Linked DNA regions of Arabidopsis thaliana. The protein of the gene in region 3 interacts with the protein of the main gene of each other region in a pairwise test. Each region holds a gene or a part of one and is shown on either strand. Other genes may lie near its edges.

Region 1 (5,324 bases), on a different chromosome or scaffold from region 3:
AACAGAGATCTTTGCAAATTTGAATTTTTAGTGAAACTCGATCTATGCTATTGTTTAAAGTTTACACCTTGTTTTGACTTTTGTGGTCATGATTCATGGTTGTTTTGCTTCTGTTCCAGGGTTCTTCGTTTTTCGAGTTTCATGAACCTGATGGTAATTACATTTCTATTTCTGTTCATGCTGTAGGAAAGAGGAATTTTTTATGTAACCACTCTGATAATACCTAAGCAAGAATCAACTTCTAATTCTGTGAGTTATCTTAGAAAGATTATCTCGATCATTTTGTGGTATTCAAAATGAGGTGCTTACTCAGGTGCTAAAATTGGCAGTGTCAGGCTATGAATGAAGTGGAAGTGTTTTCCATTCAAAACGAAAGAGAACTCTATCCCGTAGGATGGATTCATGTATATCTCTCTCTTCTAGCTCCCTCCATGTTTAGTGATCTGTTTATCTACTTTGTCTTGACTTACTATAACGAGGTTATGCATATTTTCCAGACTCATCCTTCTCAGGGTTGTTTCATGTCATCTGTAGATCTGCATACACATTATTCGTATCAGGTACATCTCTGCTGTTTCCAAATTGCATATATACTAGGTTTGAGACAATTCTGATCTCAGTTTCCCATCATGTCATTCTTAGGTAATGGTGCCAGAGGCTTTTGCAATCGTCGTAGCTCCAACTGATAGCTCTAAGTATGTTCTTCCAAAGCTATGGAGTCAATTATACAGTCAACATATTTCCTTGATAGACTCTCAAACTGATCTTTTTGGCAGGAGTTACGGGATATTTAAGCTAACGGACCCTGGAGGAATGGAGGTACTGAGAGGCTGCTCAGAGACTGGATTCCACCCGCACAAAGAACCAGAAGATGGGAACCCAGTTTATGAGCATTGCTCAAACGTCTACAAGAACTCGAACCTTAGGTTCGAGATTTTTGATCTACGTTAAGGTAACGACTTCTGTGGACTTATCAGTAAAAAGGTTCAAACTTTATCCACTGTGGGCTAAGGATGTCAATAATAACCGTCATCATAACCACCACCCTAACCAGAACTGTATACTTGGTCTGAGAAGGCTGTCTGATTCGGGTTATGAACACAAGGTACCTTCTATTAAGCTTAGCAATGTTAATAAATTGTCATGTCCTTAGATTTGGATCAATTGGTTCCATTATGGAAGAACAACAATGACCATAGACATAAGACATTGTATTGGCGTATGCAATTGTTATATATCTGTACAAATGTATACATTGGCATCTATTTCTCCATATAACACTACATTAATATTATCACCATATTTCGCCATTTTATACCTCTTAACTTGCCAGTGATGACTGATGAAAATGGTTGAGCTTTTAAAAAGGACGGGAAAATTTTAAACTTGAGCTTTGACTTGTTAAAAAATTATTCATTTTGACAGTTTTCGTCTGATTCAAGTTTCATTCTTTTCATTTCTCATTTGATTGATTAATTAGATACAAAATAGCCATAAATTAGCTGTAATAATAATTTAAAAGGTATCTTTGAGCTCTTTTTTGGTAAAGACATATTCCAAATACCTCTCTTCACATGAAACAAGAGTACAAACCCCAAAAACAGAACCAAAGGTCCAAACTTTTCTTTTGAAAGTAATAAAGCTATCAAAGCTCTTTCCTTGTTAAAGTAAATAGTACAGAGGATGGGTTTTATCAGAAAAAAAAAAGCTAGCTCATTTCATATTGTTGAGTGTTGCTATCAAAACCCATACAGATACAGTACTTTGTTTTGCTTCAAATCCCTTTATGGCCGTTTTCAAGCACATGATAGCTTTCTTCGTACAGTCAAGAGTAAAACCTCTCTTTTTCTTACCCTATCTTCTCTCTCTACAGATGTCACAGTCACCTCTGTCACGGATTTGGGTACAGAGACTCGCAGACGATTCACTCTTCTTTCTTTCTCTCTCTCTGGGTTTTAATTCAAAAAGTGAAGTTGGTTACCATTGTCTTGTACGATCGTATATTCCCGATATGATTTGTTTTGACAGAGCAACTGCTTTGTATATATATGCCAAATATCTCTCTCTCTCTCCCTCTCTCCTTGCATCAATTTATAAGTAAGACCAAAAGAGATCACCAAAACTCAGGCTTCTTGTTTGGCTTTTCTTATTGTTGATTGAGAGAGTGAGAGTAAGAGAGAGAGAGAGAGAGAGAGAGTGAGAGAGAGAGAGAGAGAGAGTGAGATGATGATGATGAGAGGTGGTGAGAGAGTGAAGGAGTTTCTTCGACCCTTTGTCGATTCCAGAACTTGGGACTTATGTGTTATCTGGAAACTCGGTGATGATCCTTCTAGGTTCAACACACTCTCCGGTTTTTCTTTGTTATTTGTTCGTTGTTCATGTGAATCATCATCAGCTGTCTACTATTTTGTTTCAGTAGCAAAGCTTCCGTTTTTATGTATACTGATGGGTTTTTCGTGTTTGTCTTTTATCTTTGCTTTCTGAATTAGGACTTTTTTTTTTGTTTTTGCTCTGTTATTGGCTTCCTGAAACTATTTTGTTTCAGTAGCAAAGTTTCCATTTTTTTGATTTTGATTAGTCCTTAGTAACTTCTGGCTCTGTTCTATCAAATTTCTCTGGTTTCTGTTTTTTTTTTTTTTTGCTCATCTGGTTTTTGATTTTAATGGTTTATGGTTTGTTTTGCTTTACCATCTACCTCCTGTTCTTGGTTTTGTCTTGTCTAGTTTTACTAAAAGTTTGTGGGTTTTATGATCTTCATCTCGTAATTGGTATGAATTCCATTTAAACTACAGGTTTATTGAATGGGTGGGATGCTGCTGCAGTGGTTGTTATATTGATAAGAATATAAAGCTTGAAAACTCAGAAGAAGGAGGAACTGGGAGAAAAAAGAAGGCTTCTTTCTGTAGAGATGACCACAACAAGCATCGTATAAGAACCTTAGCTTGTGAAGCGCTTTCTCGTTTTCCTCTCTTCATGCCTCTCTATCCCGGGTATGTTTCCATCTATTCAACCCCCTTTCAAGTTAATTTTTTCTTCAAGAATAATATGAAGCTTCTTTCTCAATTGCAGGATTCATGGAGAAGTAGTGATGTCAAAATCTCCAAAGTGGTTGGTTAATTCAGGATCTAAAATGGTAAAAAAGACTCTTTTCGTCAGCCTTTTTTACTCGTTTGATCATAAGAACAATCTGATCTCCATGTGTTTTGGCAGGAAATGTTCAGCACTCGTGTTCTTGTTCCTGTGAGTGATGGTCTCGTTGAGCTGTTCGCTTTCGATATGGTAAAAACATGTTAGCATTTCGCATAGAAAGTCTGTCATTGGTTTTGGTGGTTACTTCATAAAATGTTGGTCTGTATCAGAGACCGTTTGATGAAAGCATGGTGCATTTGATCATGTCGCGTTGTACCACCTTCTTTGAACCATTCCCTGAACAAAGGCTGCAGTTCAGGATCATTCCCCGAGCAGAGGAATCTATGAGTAGCGGTGTGAATCTCAGCGTTGAGGGCGGCGGATCATCAAGTGTTTCCAATCCCTCCAGTGAAACTCAGAATCTTTTCGGCAATTACCCGAATGCTAGTTGTGTGGAAATTCTCAGGGAGGAACAAACACCGTGTTTGATAATGAACAAGGAAAAGGATGTTGTGGTGCAAAATGCCAACGATTCCAAAGCTAATAAGAAGCTGCTTCCTACGGAAAACTTCAAATCAAAGAACCTTCATTCAGAGAGGAAAAGAAGAGAGAGAATTAATCAGGCCATGTATGGTCTAAGAGCCGTAGTCCCTAAAATCACAAAGGTTTCTTCTGAAACTCAATGCAGTTTCTGGATCACTCTTCTTGTGGTCAATGTAGCACTTTCCATAGGATTATTATATTTATCTTTCTTTGTGCTATATGCAGTTGAACAAAATTGGAATTTTCAGTGATGCTGTTGATTACATCAATGAACTGCTAGTGGAGAAGCAGAAACTTGAAGATGAGCTTAAAGGAATCAATGAGATGGAATGCAAAGAAATCGCTGCAGAGGAACAATCTGCAATAGCTGATCCAGAAGCTGAAAGAGTTTCCTCTAAAAGCAACAAGAGAGTGAAGAAAAACGAGGTATTATTCGAATATATAGACCTTCAAGATAATCTATATCTGAGTTGTAAAATCCCACAAACTCTGGTTTCTTTTCAGGTGAAAATTGAAGTCCACGAGACTGGTGAGCGAGATTTCTTGATTCGGGTTGTGCAGGAACATAAACAAGATGGATTCAAGAGGTTGATAGAAGCTGTAGATTTATGTGAACTTGAGATCATTGACGTCAATTTCACCAGACTCGATCTCACAGTCATGACCGTTCTCAATGTCAAGGTAGTAACGTAATCACATCTCATTGCCCCTGCACGTAATCTCAGATTCTTGAATTCTGATAAACAGTTTTGGATTTATTCATTCTTAGGCGAACAAAGACGGGATTGCATGTGGAATATTGAGAGATTTACTGCTCAAGATGATGATAACTTCAATATGAAAACTCAGTAAAACAGAGTACATAACCTCAAAAGGTCAAATGTTTTGTTTGCTTCAGTCACAAGTTACTGCTAGAGATATGATTTCTCACAAGCTTTTAGGTGACAGTTTACATGTTTGAAACTATACATTCTTCTGGTTTGTCATTGGGTTTTCATTAAGATCTTTCACAAATATAATTCTAAAGGGTCGTCGTCCCTAAGAACTAAGAAAAACAAAACACAACAACTTGAGTTTAATTTATTGGTTTCAATGGTTCCGGTGACTTGTGTTGAAGGCTCGGCTCTCAGATTCATATTCATGGCTAGTGGCGTAGTCTTGGCTAGGGTAGTAGCCAGTATTAGTACCAAGATCCGAGGAATCTTCAGAGGCTCGTCTGAAAATTCGAATCTCATTACTGTATTGACCGGAGTCGTAGACCCTACTTTGACCCACTTTAACTCCGTTTGTCAGATCCGACAAGTCATCTCTCGTGTCCAGAGCTCTAACAACCTGCAAAAAGAGAAACACTCTTGATCAATCAGATGGTTTGTTTCTTTTTCTAGCTGTATATTATTAGGTCAAGTCAAGAAGTGTTTCTATTTCTGACCTGAACCATACGAGGTCGTTTTAAAGCGGAATGTCTAACACAAGACGCTGCCGTTTCAATCATTTTATAGACTTCACTTTCGACGTAATCATTCTCTAGCCGTGGATCCACTACTTCGCTGATGTCACCTTTTTCAATGGCCTCGATTAGCCTTGGACGTGCCTGCCAAAAAACCAACAAATATTCAACCCTCATGAGATTTTTTCATTTATATTGAAAACAC
Region 2 (4,741 bases), 5.4 Mb from region 3:
CCTATGTAATTACTTACAAAAATTAAGGTTACATTTAAAATGTACTTCCCAAATAATATAGTAGGATAAATTGTTTTATCTATGATTTATGAATATCCACATCAGTTCTGTAAAAAATAAAACTAAAAGAAAAACCAAGGAGAAAACAAATCGCCTTGTAAAAAACCGTTTTTGATAAATGTAACATTTAGGTTTTGTGTTAGTTAAGATCCGAAACAAGACAAATCTTATACACGCCATAATCCAGTATGTCGAAATCTACACCGTATTAATTATTGCTACTATGAACAACCATTCTATCCGATCATAGACTTTACTCTTATTTGTCGTTATTATCATAAAATGTCGTTTAAATAAATTATTTGTAGGATACCAATTCTTTAATTATATTAGTTCAAACACGTATAATTTTGGTGGTTTTTGAGGATGAATATCATCAAAGATAAATGCATTTTGGTGAAATAAATAATCAAATAATTATTTTAAATTATCTTTATGCACCACTATTTTTAATAAATTGGACTCTTACAACGTTTTCCTTAAAAAAAATCATGGATCTTAAAACTTATACCCAAACAAATATGTAGAAAATTATTATTATATATATAAATATATATATATATATATAAGCTATACAAAATCTTATTATATAGTAGTAGCGCTTGATTCTAAAATAGCATAATTAGACGAAAAAGCATGCATTTTGTAACATTTTATACTTTGTAAGTAAAACACATAAAAAATAATTTTATGAATAAGAAATCCACATAAAAAAAAAAAGAAGTAACATACTGTGAAAAATTAGGAAACTTTTTGAGGCACCAATTTTTTATGCCACTTTCAAAAAAGCATTAATGAAAATTTGTTTAAAATATCATTTTAAAATTTGACGTACAAAAGTACAAAACCTCATACAATTTCAAAACTTTACAAAGACTCAATAACATGTGTTATAGAGACTTTATAAACTTTCTTATAACATACTCTATAATTTTTTATATCCATATATTTGTGATATTTTTGAAAATGGATAAAATAAATTTGATATTTTTATAAATAGAAAATATTAATGGTATTTTTGAATTTTTCCCAAAATAATTATTAGTCTTATACTCCAAAATGTAAAAAAAAATCACTTTTTATTAAAAAAATACTTACGCATTTGCTTAATTGCTAGTCGTCAAAGTTTTGTCATTTTATGCAAATACTAAAAAAATGTAGAAAGCATTTCCTCTTTATTTTTGGGACAACCAAGAAAGGAGCATTTCAATAGTGTATACATAGACAAAAATATTTCTCATTTCCTATATTTGACTCTTTAAATCTTTAATAGCTCTTGTAATTTTTTCCATTCATTGTAATACAGCCATAATGTTTAAAAGGAAACTGTCAATTATAAACTTATACTAGAATATAAAATATGGTATTGAATTGAATATTTTCAAAAATAAAATATTAAATTTACGAAAAGAATAAAAAAACTTAAAAATCTCTCTCTCCTATCTCTCAACCACAACTTATTTTTCATGTCAGTATCCACCAACACATATATACGGCATATAAAAGATTTTAATAAAACCTTGGAACTATCTATATCTATTCAGACACACACGTCTATATATATATATACACTCATATACTACTTTCACTGTATCATTCTTGTTTTCTCTAAATTTTTCAAAAAACCTTTAGAATTTTCATTTTTTTACGATTCCGATGTTAACTGTTTCTCCGGCTCCAGTACTCATCGGAAACAACTCAAAGGATACTTACATGGCGGCAGATTTCGCAGATTTTACGACGGAAGACTTGCCGGACTTTACGACGGTCGGGGATTTTTCCGATGATCTTCTTGATGGAATCGATTACTACGACGATCTTTTCATTGGTTTCGATGGAGACGATGTTTTGCCGGATTTGGAGATAGATTCGGAGATTCTTGGGGAATATTCCGGTAGCGGAAGAGATGAGGAACAAGAAATGGAGGGTAACACTTCGACGGCATCGGAGACATCGGAGAGAGACGTTGGTGTGTGTAAGCAAGAGGGTGGTGGTGGTGGTGACGGTGGTTTTAGGGACAAAACGGTGCGTCGAGGCAAACGTAAAGGGAAGAAAAGTAAAGATTGTTTATCCGATGAGAACGATATTAAGAAAAAACCTAAGGTGTGTTTATTTCCCAATTATCCATGTTAGATTAGTTTATTTTTTTTCTTCTTTAAAGGTAAAAAATCCCATTAAGAAATCACCAACCTTTTTAAGGATTTCATTAAAAAAACATAAACTTCTAGTGTTTCTGAATATTTTTTTTACAAAGTTAGTGAATTAGTGTATTTATCATATACACAATTATTATTAAGTTTGATAACTGGAGTAGATCTAGGACCAAAACCAAGTTTTGTGTAGTAGGACTATACAAATTTGTGTGTTTATTTGGACTAAATATTTTTTTTTATAAAACTGTAAGACAATTTTCTATAAAAAAAATGAATTCCTTTTTTTTCTTTTCATTTATTGATTAATTAATATATTGTTCCGGCAAATCAGGTGGATTGGACGCCGGAGTTACACCGGAAATTTGTACAAGCGGTGGAGCAATTAGGGGTAGACAAGGCGGTGCCGTCTCGAATCTTGGAAATTATGAACGTTAAATCTCTCACTCGTCACAACGTTGCTAGCCATCTTCAGGTAAATTTTAGACTAAAACTATACAAACTAATTTTAACAGGAATTAATCAAGTGCTATAACCCCTAACATAGTAATTACCTAATTTATAGATTACATGTTTTTCCTTCAAAATTTTTTATGAAAAGACAAGTAAAATACTAACCAACTCAGATTTGTGTAATAAGATTAATTTGTGTTGTGTTCTTCTTGTAATGATAGAAATATAGGTCACATCGGAAACATCTACTAGCGCGTGAAGCAGAAGCTGCCAGCTGGAATCTCCGGAGACATGCCACGGTGGCAGTGCCCGGAGTAGGAGGAGGAGGGAAGAAGCCGTGGACAGCTCCTGCCTTAGGCTATCCTCCACACGTGGCACCAATGCATCATGGTCACTTCAGGCCTTTGCACGTATGGGGTCATCCTACGTGGCCAAAACACAAGCCTAATACTCCGGCGTCTGCTCATCGGACGTATCCAATGCCGGCCATTGCGGCGGCTCCGGCATCTTGGCCAGGTCATCCACCGTACTGGCATCAGCAACCACTCTATCCACAGGTAATAATAATTCATTTGTAAAAATGTTACATGTTTTTCCATTATTAGTTGTATGGTTAAATCATGAAAAATAATCGAAATGACATAACTAAATCAGCTTTGTTGAACAATCATGACACTGCAAAAAGCTAGTCTTTGTACACTATTGGCTTTTTAACACATGCAACATATATAAGTATAAAACGGAATCATTGAATTAGATTGTGGTTTTGTCTAACAACGCAATTAGTAAAAGATTGCAAGATCATGAATCATTTTTATGTAGACAACTAATAAAGATTTAGAGCTATGAATTATGTATGGATTTTACAAAAACATATTTCTAATCATGGTTTATGTGTATATATGTGTAGGGATATGGTATGGCATCATCGAATCATTCAAGCATCGGTGTTCCCACAAGACAATTAGGACCCACTAATCCTCCCATCGACATTCATCCCGTGAGTGCACCTTTTTTGGTTTCAATTTTGTTTATTAGATTTTGATTATGACATAACCCAAAAAAGTTTTCGAATAAATTTTGGATAATTAACAATATTTCATTACTTGACGGTTGCAGTCGAATGAGAGCATAGATGCAGCTATTGGGGACGTTATATCAAAGCCGTGGCTGCCGCTTCCTTTGGGACTGAAACCGCCGTCGGTTGACGGTGTTATGACGGAGTTACAACGTCAAGGAGTTTCTAATGTTCCTCCTCTTCCTTGAGAAAGATCTCCAAAATTTGTCGAAATCTCAAACTTTTAACTTCATTTTTTTGGTATCTTCTATGTATTTTTGCAAGGGAAAGACGATAAATCCTTGTTGCTTGATCATATGTATTTCTCTATATGAGTGCATGTATCGAAGTTAAGCAACTTTAATATATCGTTATAATCTTCGATAGCAGAATCTGTAATTTTTATTAACTTTCAACTCCCGAAGCATCATTGCAAAATGACTAAATGCAACACTTTTTGGGGTTAAAAATGCTTAACATTTTAAAACATTACTATCATTTATTCAATCAACAATTTATAGTTTTATACAATTGAAAACTAGACGGGATATATATCGCATGTGTTTTTTCAATGGCTTATTTTGTTTTATAATGCCAACTTTCACAGCTATGGATTGTGACTATTTATAATTTCAAAGAAGTCAAATATTTTTAAAACTCAATTAAAGTCCATAAAAAAATTTGCAATTGATAATGTTAACATATCGTGGCAAAAAAAAAAAAAAAGTACAACACATAATTGGAGTTTAGATATACGAATATTCTTTTAATTGGTTCCATGTAAAAAACTTAATTCAAACGGATTCGATTGGTGACACAAAATGGTAAAAACAAAAAAGCGGAAAAAGTTTTAAAAATACTAGAATAGTTGAAAGAAGTAAAAAAAATACAGGTACAAAAAATACAATAGTACAAAAAAATACTAGAATAGTTGTAGATATACTTTTGTGTTTAGTAAACTATTAAAGCATTAAATATTGTACCATGCGATAGAGATTACCAATCAAAAGCCAAAGTGATG
Region 3 (5,762 bases):
AAAGTAAGTCAATGAAAGAAATAAATTTTCAATTATCATGTCTATATATATATCCAAAAAATTATCTAAAATATAGATAAGAAAGTATCAATTTATGCTAATATTTTTTTCCCAAATATGCTAAATTAGTAAATTTGAAAAAAAAAAAAAATCTTACTAATAAAGGGAAATTAGTAAAATAATAAAGTCGGTTTTTTAAGAACACGTGAAAACGTCTCCGACCAGGCGACCATAATCAGTTAATTGAGAAAGCACCACGTCATCAAAGAAATCTAGTAGAGCCAATGGGTATGTGCCACGTCAATGGATAAGGTGACCTTTCCTCGTTTTCTCTTTAAGATCCCAAAAAGATTTTGCAGATTTGGATGATGATGATGTGGTTTTTACATCTTTTTAGAAAATAATCCAAAAACAGAATCACATTTCCCTCCAGTCAAAAAGGATCATTAATGACTATTACTCACTAAACAACCTGGATTAAACTCTTGAGCATCTTTTCTTGGTTAAACTTTATTCAAGAAGAACAGAAATCGGATATCACAACCAAATCAATAAATTAAAACTGAGAAATCTTATTAAAACTATTACTATTATCAAAAATATATATCAAATTTTAAATAAAATCTTCTACAAAACCTGTAAAAAAATATAACTTCGAATTCTATTTAAAATCTAGATATCATAAACTAAAATATAAACCAATATATGGCTTCACTTCTAGCTACAATTAATCAGGGTCGGCTCAAAATAATAAAGGACCCAGAGCTGAAAAAAAAATTAGTTCTCATTTCCTATGTTTTGTTATGTAAATCTTTTTTTTGGATCGTAATTGTATTAGATTTACTTCAAAAAAAAGAGAAATTTTGGGTTGACTCTGTGCCTCGCTCCTCCGGCACATGTGTAGAGCCGGACCTGCAATTAATAGAAACAAAAATTAAACTAATATATGGTGACTCTAAATTGAAACTAAAACTAATAGTGGATAAATTTGTTTAACTCTATACTAGTTTAAAGAGCTGAAATTAAATATTGTGAATGGTAGAACTCGATTTTTGGTATCAACTAAGAAGAAAAATCCTCAACCTCAACTAATATAATACTGCCACAGGCTGGATTAGACAATTGATCGGCGCTACATCATTACTTACCACTTAATCGATGATGTGATTAATATTTTTCAATCATGAGTAATTTCGATAAATCACACTCAAAATATTTATCCCCCTTTCAAATTAATGACTGATCGCTGTTATATTACTTACTCACCACAAGATCGATATGCAAAATAATATCTTAAATTTTTGGGTAAAAATTATTGTGTAACAAGTGGATAATATCAATAAATCAATACATAAAAGATTTACTCAATTTGAATTAATGACTTACTGTCGTTATATTAATGTAATACATAAAAATTTAACTTTAAGAATGAACGATCGTCGCTACATTACATTATTACCAAATCGTCACAAAATTAATATTTTATATTTTGAGTAAATGTTAATGAACAAATAAATTTGTTAAATCAACACATAACAAATTTAATTCAATCGTATTATGACCGATCGTTGCCACAATCATATCGCTTTATTATAGGTTTAACAATTGATTTTTCATTATTTTGTTTTCAATCTCCAAATCATTTCTCAATAACTCTCAAACATTGTTTAAAGCTTTTTTTCTTAATTAACATTATAACAAAAAAATAAATAGAGAAATTTACTTTGATTCAAACACCAGTCATTGTAGATTAGCCAAGAGTTTTCAGTAACAAAATTTACCTTATAAACCTTTTGAATGGCTATTTCTGAAATGGAATAGAAATCTTTAGTCGTGGAAGTATCTCTATCCATAAGAAAACTCGTTTTACAAAGTAATTTTAAATCAATACAAAAAGTGAAAAAATCCACTGGTGGACCCCATTCATTCCAGAATTGCCGATTACGAGCTATCTTGTCCCTTCTTCACCATTCGCTCACTCTCTCTCTCTCTCTCTCGTCTTCTTCTTCCCACCACTCTCTCTGTTTCTCCACAACTTCTCTTCTCAAAGTTAAAATTACCCCTAAACCAAAAAAAAAAAAAACGCTCTTCACTATTTATTTACTAAACTCTCCTTTGTTTGTTACTAAGCTCTCACTAAAACCCTAATCTTTCTCCTCTTATATATCTCGTGACTCTTCTTTCTCCTCCAATCTCTCTCTCCCTCTTCACAAACCAATTAGCTTCTTTCTGTAAAACCTCACTCGTTGGCCAATTCTTTTGGTTTTCATACACATAAATCTCAGATTCCAAATGGGTTTTCTTAGCTCTTTCTTTCAAATGATGAACATTTGTTAGCAGAATCTTCCTCTTTCCCTAAAGTTTTGATCTTTTTTTCCCCCTTCAATTTTGTATTTTCTCACCAAATAAAAAAAGGTTTCTTCAGTGGGTTTTAAGGGTTTATTATTATCTTAAAATTAAACACAATTCTTTAATCAAAAGGCAAAAATCTTAATTTCATCACTCTCTTCTCACTCACAAAAGTTCTTACAATCTTCAAAGTTTTGGTCTTGTTTCTTTTCCGATTTCACCGGACAAAAAAAATGTCGGCGTGTTTAAGCAGCGGAGGAGGAGGAGCAGCAGCATATAGTTTCGAGTTAGAAAAAGTGAAATCACCACCACCATCATCCTCAACAACAACAACAAGAGCTACTTCACCATCATCAACAATCTCCGAATCATCAAATTCACCACTCGCAATCTCAACGAGAAAGCCAAGAACACAACGCAAAAGACCAAACCAGACTTACAACGAAGCAGCTACTCTTCTCTCTACTGCTTATCCCAACATCTTCTCCTCAAACTTGTCCTCTAAGCAAAAAACTCACTCTTCATCAAACTCTCACTTCTACGGGCCATTGCTTAGTGACAACGACGACGCTTCTGATTTGCTTCTTCCTTATGAATCAATCGAAGAACCTGATTTTCTGTTTCATCCAACGATTCAAACGAAAACAGAGTTTTTCTCAGACCAGAAGGAAGTTAACTCCGGTGGAGATTGCTACGGTGGTGAAATCGAAAAGTTTGATTTCTCCGACGAATTCGATGCTGAATCGATTCTCGATGAGGATATTGAAGAAGGAATCGATAGTATAATGGGGACTGTGGTGGAATCGAATTCAAATTCGGGGATTTATGAATCTAGGGTTCCGGGAATGATCAATCGCGGTGGAAGAAGTTCTTCTAATCGGATTGGTAAACTAGAACAGATGATGATGATCAATTCATGGAATCGAAGCTCTAACGGATTCAATTTCCCGTTAGGGCTTGGATTACGAAGTGCTCTCAGAGAAAACGACGACACAAAATTGTGGAAGATTCATACCGTTGATTTCGAACAGATCTCGCCGCGAATTCAAACTGTCAAAACCGAAACTGCAATCTCCACCGTTGATGAGGAGAAATCCGACGGTAAGAAGGTGGTAATCTCTGGAGAGAAGAGTAATAAGAAGAAGAAGAAGAAGAAAATGACGGTGACGACGACATTGATTACGGAATCGAAAAGCTTGGAAGATACGGAGGAGACGAGTTTGAAGAGAACAGGTCCGTTGTTGAAGCTTGATTACGACGGCGTTTTGGAAGCTTGGTCTGATAAAACGTCGCCGTTTCCCGACGAGATTCAGGGATCGGAAGCTGTCGATGTCAATGTATGTTTAACACTAATCTCTTCTTAATCTCAAATCCCTCGCCGTTAAAATTCGATATTTTCTATGTTTATTTTTCTTTAGTTAATGGTTAGTTTGAAATAATTAATTATTCGGGATTCTGTTTTGGCCATTAGTATTCTGCCACGTGGCTGTTGAGGAGTGTGTTCTCATTAATGCTGAATTAGTAATTTATTAGCTATGATATAGTTTGAAGTATCTGACAAGAATTTATTAAATTTTGTGGAAAGTTCTTATTAATAATTTTTCCTGTAACGTATTTTGAAGAATAATTATTAACCCTTTGACTTTGGTACATAGTCTTCTTTTTATTATAAATAACATTTTTTTCTGTGATGACTTTCAATCAATTAAGAAAAAAAAAAGCTGCTTTTTATTTGTCCAATGAAAACTTTATAGACTGTGCACGTGAATTTTCACGTATAGGATAAATGAGGAGGTTCAAAATTTATTTTGTAGATATCCGTTTCGTCGAATACTCCTTTTAGCATAAAGTCTAGTAGTCTACAAAATAAGTTAACTAGAAATTCATTTTTGTCAATTGATTAGTATTTTGTGTTATTAATAATGTTGAACATGAACTAATGTGGCGTGTGTGTTTTGGGGCAGGCTAGATTAGCTCAGATTGATTTGTTCGGAGACAGTGGAATGCGAGAAGCAAGTGTTTTGAGGTACAAAGAGAAACGTCGAACTCGTCTTTTTTCGAAGAAAATTCGATACCAAGTTCGCAAACTCAATGCTGATCAACGTCCTCGAATGAAGGTATCTAACCCATCTTAGTCAGTGGTTAAAAACATGTAGGTTTTTTTTACCATCCTTCAAAATTTGTTTTGAATCAGCATAATAAGACTAGCTTTAGTTTTCAGATTTAAAGTAGATGAGAAAACTCTTGTTGAGTTTTTCTATTCGTTTTTTTTCTTCAAGAAGATGAAATAAGCTTTCTTTTGGGTATCTTTATTCCAAATGAACCAAACCGAACAAGTAAAGGAAACTACGTACCACAAGCCAAACAAAAAGATTTAAAACCAAACCAAAGGTTAAATATATTAAGAATTGTCATCTAAAGGAAACAAAACTAACTAATAACGTTAGATTGAGGTCAAGGGCTAGGGATATATACATTAGATTTGATTAAGACAAGAACCTAATATTAATGTTTTCTTTTCTTTTTGTGGTTGGTGATGGGATGTGGGAACAGGGACGATTCGTGAGAAGGCCCAATGAGAGCACTCCAAGTGGACAAAGATAACAAGGATAAAAGAGCCTAGATTTATCTTATCTTTTTTTTTTTATCTTTTGTTTATTCCTTGTTTTATTTTTGTTTCTAAAATTTTGGCACCCTCCTTTTTTGTTTCTTTTAAGTTATGGTCCCTTTTGGTTTATAATTTAGATTTTTTGATGAGGGGGAGATTTGATTGAGAAAGTGAGGGATCAAAACTAATAAAAGTTTTTGTTATTAATAGAAGAAACAGAGCTCTTGAGATTTTAATGACTCAAGAAGCAAGTCAGAGACTTGGCTCAACAACAACAGTAGCAAAAAACAAGACATGGATTATTCACCAATCCCAATGGCTCAAACTATGTTGCAGCCTTGTACACCTGTTGTTTCGTTGCCCATTGCTTCTTTGAGTCATCAAAACCGGTGACAAATCATTGATACCTCTCAATATCTGTTTTTGCCGAGCCAAATTTCCTTTCCCAATAAAAACATTATAGAGAAAAAGCATATTGAATTAAGGGCAAAAATAGCTTCTAGGACGTGTTATATGATTTTTGAATGGTAGCTTCTTCTAGATACCATTTTATCTTTGACCAAGAATCGAGTGTTATTTTACAAGGCTTGACGGAATGGCAAAAACAGAACTCTCTGCACAAGGAATGTGTTGAGCTCATTACTTGTATACATGATACAAGAGATATCGTTTGGTTTATATACAGAGTTATTATGCACGAAACAAGAGGAAAATCAAATCAAACCAAATTGGTCTCTGGTAATCAGTTCAGTGGCAAAGATTTTCAGATCAATGTAGACCTAGCAAATGTCCTTGTGGAGACACC
Region 4 (3,468 bases), about 14 Mb from region 3:
CGAATATGTTAGACATATCAAAATTATTTTTGTTTAATTAAAATTACAGTTGTAGTAATGTTGTTATTTCAAAGGTACATATATATTTCCATTATGTAACTTGCTGATATTAGCATTCAGTACCATCCTTCTTTTACTACACCACCGAGAGAGATAAGTTACTTTCTTTTTTTTCGTTTTCTTATGGACATGGATGCAAATATACAGACAAAAAAAAGCATATGTTGAATAATTATTAGGGTTAAGAATGATTATTAGTAGGGTGAAAATGATCAATTATTTGATAAAAAGTTAATGACCTTCTCTAGTTGTTTTTCTTGTCGTCATAATTGCGGTCTAGGATTCTTTCATCAATTTGATACTGGATTGAACTAATAATATTTGGCACTTGTTATTTTGATGTATCCATTCTACCTACACACTCTTTTGCCCAACATATTCTTCTATTACCTCTTATTCCAATTATAATTGACTCTAAAAGGATATAGTCTCAATTGGAGATTATTTTTTTTTTAAATATGCGTGCGACTGAATATGATCGACATAACCTTTACTTTTATTTGATGAAACTTTGTCGAACAAAAGATAAATTGGCAAACAAAAACATCCATATATAAACCCAAATAAGAAGTGGTTACTATGTGACATTCCCTATACAATTAACATATACTACTATCTAAAAATTGTAGATAAGTTTATGCAATATTATACTAATTCCCTCTCCAAGTTTCAGTAATGGGCATAATCACATATTTATTAATTATTAAACCTATGTTTTTAATTGAAAAATAATGTATTAGAGTTTTTTTTTTAATAGGTCGCAGACTCGTAGGTAAACTGTACACTCAGAAATCATGGGTATGATGACAATACATTAAGGTTTGTTTCAATAATAACAATACAAAATAATATTAAAGAAGGGAAAAGAGAAGATGATAATCGAAGATGGTTTTGGGTGTTTGATTGAGTCATTATCAAAGGCTCACATGGGTGAAGAATGGTGATGAAAGAGTCTCGCTAGTTATCAAACTATATATTTTCCAATTATTTATCGTTATTATTAATTAGTTGGGGAAAAATTTGGCAGTATCTATGATATAGAGACATGTTGTGATGATCAAACCCATGTGAAAATAGGTACAGTGGGTTTGAAGTTTCACCGCAGCCAAATCTCTTTGGATCCAACTTGTTCACAATGGGAAAATTAAAATAATTGATAAATATATATGCTATATACGTAGGGTTGTTATTATATTTAGAGCTATTTATTAGTTTTATCTTAAAAATACCCCATAACTTAGGATATTATAACTATAATTGTCTAAGTATAATATGTGTAACTTGGGACAAAAGGAAAAGAAAAAGGTTTGGATTAAATTATCTTAGGTTTGATTTCTAAACCGTTTTAATTAATTTATATTTGTTGATAAAAAATTAGCTTTTGTTACAGAAATAAATTCATATGAAACTATTGAACATTTGTAATTTTGTATTCTAACAAAAACTGTGATAAGTTTGTTAATTCATAATTTAAATTCTATTTTAACTTTTAGATAAATTACGATAATACTTTCCAAAAAATATCTCTAAATAAAAAAAACACTTTTCCGACAGTTTAGCATGTAGTTTCGAAGCTTTCAATTTTCACTATAATATGTGACAGAATTAGATAATCCATTTGCCCATGTCGCAGCAACTTCGAATACAACAAATGAAGTAAATTTAAGAATACTTTAAGTTAAATAAATTAATATAACTCTCTCTCTCACATCAAACAAAATCCATGAGATTTTCTGAGTCGTATTGGTAATGGTGTGGGTCCAATTTAGGACCAAATTGATTGCCAGTTTATTGCCAAAGAAAATTTTAACACAAAAACATTTCTCTCTCTCATGAAGCTAAAGCCAACACTACTTATATAGCTACCCTTCACTCTTCCAAAAACGCTCCTTCACTCTCATCATTCTTTCTTCTTTCAAAACATTTCCACAAACACACCAAACTCACCTGAAACCCTATTTCCATTTACCATTCACACTAATGGCACGACCACAACAACGCTTTCGAGGCGTTAGACAGAGGCATTGGGGCTCTTGGGTCTCCGAAATTCGTCACCCTCTCTTGTAAAAACTCTCCCTCATCATCCTCTCAAATTACGAAATTACCCTCGGTCGCTTTTTATTTGAGTAATGCTAAACTTTTTTGTTTTTTTTTTGTTTTTTTTAGGAAAACAAGAATCTGGCTAGGGACGTTTGAGACAGCGGAGGATGCAGCAAGGGCCTACGACGAGGCGGCTAGGCTAATGTGTGGCCCGAGAGCTCGTACTAATTTCCCATACAACCCTAATGCCATTCCTACTTCCTCTTCCAAGCTTCTATCAGCAACTCTTACCGCTAAACTCCACAAATGCTACATGGCTTCTCTTCAAATGACCAAGCAAACGCAAACACAAACGCAAACGCAGACCGCAAGATCACAATCCGCGGACAGTGACGGTGTGACGGCTAACGAAAGTCATTTGAACAGAGGAGTAACGGAGACGACAGAGATCAAGTGGGAAGATGGAAATGCGAATATGCAACAGAATTTTAGGCCATTGGAGGAAGATCATATCGAGCAAATGATTGAGGAGCTGCTTCACTACGGTTCCATTGAGCTTTGCTCTGTTTTACCAACTCAGACGCTGTGAGAAATGGCCTTGTCGTTTTAGCGTATTCTTTTCATTTTTATTTTTGTTTCCACAAAAACGGCGTCGTAAGTGATGAGAGTAGTAGTGAGAGAAGGCTAATTTCAAGACATTTTGATCTGAATTGGCCTCTTTTGAAACACTGATTCTAGTTTCTATAAGAGCAATCGATCATATGCTATGTTATGTATAGTATTATAAAAAAATGTTATTTTCTGATTTTTCTCCATGTAAACCAATTGAACACTTGAAACCAAAAACTAAAAATTACACATGTGTTCGTGTGTGAAAAAGTGGGAATTTAATGTAGTGAAAAGATACAACAATGAGAAGAAAGATATCTAAAGTAGTGAAGAGAGATGAGAGTTTGAATATTTTGAGTTAGCTTTTGGTTTTGTTCCATGCATGTTCTAATTTTTCAACGGTGGGCCTTCATTTTTTTATTTTTATTTTTGGTAATTTGGGATTGCTGCTAAGTAGAAAAAGAGTGTCCCTAGCTGTGGCTTGACGACCATAAAATCCAACTTTTTAATTAGAGGGATTTGTGTTTTCTAGCACCTTATATTAAAATAGAAAAAATAATTTAGCTACATAAAATAGGTGTTTGACTGCAATTACTCTGTTTCCTTAGAACACTCTGTTCTTCGAACAGTCCAAACCTATTATTTATTTGTTTTGTTTGTAATGCGAATAAAAGGAAACTAGTGTTTTCCGACCACTACTTTAACTTTTGTAACAAAATATGATTTACATTTACTACCTTAAGGTTGAATACGAAAATA

The links.
Region 1: the proteins of CIA2 (region 3) and AT1G10610 interact in a two-hybrid assay, tested with the Arabidopsis thaliana proteins (one large-scale study listed by BioGRID).
Region 2: the proteins of CIA2 (region 3) and GLK2 interact in a two-hybrid assay, tested with the Arabidopsis thaliana proteins (one large-scale study listed by BioGRID).
Region 4: the proteins of CIA2 (region 3) and ESE3 interact in a two-hybrid assay, tested with the Arabidopsis thaliana proteins (one large-scale study listed by BioGRID).

What each region holds. Positions count from the first base shown.
Region 1 is NC_003070.9:3,504,240-3,509,563, forward strand, and holds AT1G10610 (basic helix-loop-helix (bHLH) DNA-binding superfamily protein), read left to right. Parts: upstream 1-1,946; 5' UTR 1,947-2,223; coding exon 2,224-2,333; intron 2,334-2,639; exon of another isoform or gene 2,640-2,792; coding exon 2,793-2,990; intron 2,991-3,069; coding exon 3,070-3,133; intron 3,134-3,210; coding exon 3,211-3,279; intron 3,280-3,359; coding exon 3,360-3,794; intron 3,795-3,897; coding exon 3,898-4,098; intron 4,099-4,176; coding exon 4,177-4,353; intron 4,354-4,441; coding exon 4,442-4,513; 3' UTR 4,514-4,761; downstream 4,762-5,324. Other genes in the region: AMSH2 (associated molecule with the SH3 domain of STAM 2), read left to right, coding at 187-249, 330-404, 498-560, 643-695, 777-951; PERK11 (Protein kinase superfamily protein), read right to left, coding at 4,762-5,004, 5,102-5,263.
Region 2 is NC_003076.8:17,796,719-17,801,459, forward strand, and holds GLK2 (GOLDEN2-like 2), read left to right. Parts: upstream 1-1,562; 5' UTR 1,563-1,716; coding exon 1,717-2,163; intron 2,164-2,544; coding exon 2,545-2,685; intron 2,686-2,884; coding exon 2,885-3,220; intron 3,221-3,573; coding exon 3,574-3,663; coding exon of another isoform or gene 3,664-3,708; exon of another isoform or gene 3,709-3,782; coding exon 3,783-3,929; 3' UTR 3,930-4,208; downstream 4,209-4,741.
Region 3 is NC_003076.8:23,165,811-23,171,572, forward strand, and holds CIA2 (chloroplast import apparatus 2), read left to right. Parts: upstream 1-1,963; 5' UTR 1,964-2,582; coding exon 2,583-3,686; coding exon of another isoform or gene 3,687-3,713; exon of another isoform or gene 3,714-4,313; coding exon 4,314-4,466; coding exon of another isoform or gene 4,467-4,484; exon of another isoform or gene 4,485-4,902; coding exon 4,903-4,953; 3' UTR 4,954-5,215; downstream 5,216-5,762. Other genes in the region: PSD2 (phosphatidylserine decarboxylase 2), read right to left, coding at 5,721-5,762. UniProt on the Arabidopsis thaliana protein: Responsible for specific up-regulation of the translocon genes TOC33 and TOC75 in leaves. Involved in the general chloroplast protein import pathway regulation, including protein import and protein translation efficiencies.
Region 4 is NC_003076.8:8,706,228-8,709,695, reverse strand, and holds ESE3 (Integrase-type DNA-binding superfamily protein), read left to right. Parts: upstream 1-1,810; 5' UTR 1,811-2,040; coding exon 2,041-2,123; intron 2,124-2,226; coding exon 2,227-2,689; 3' UTR 2,690-2,951; downstream 2,952-3,468.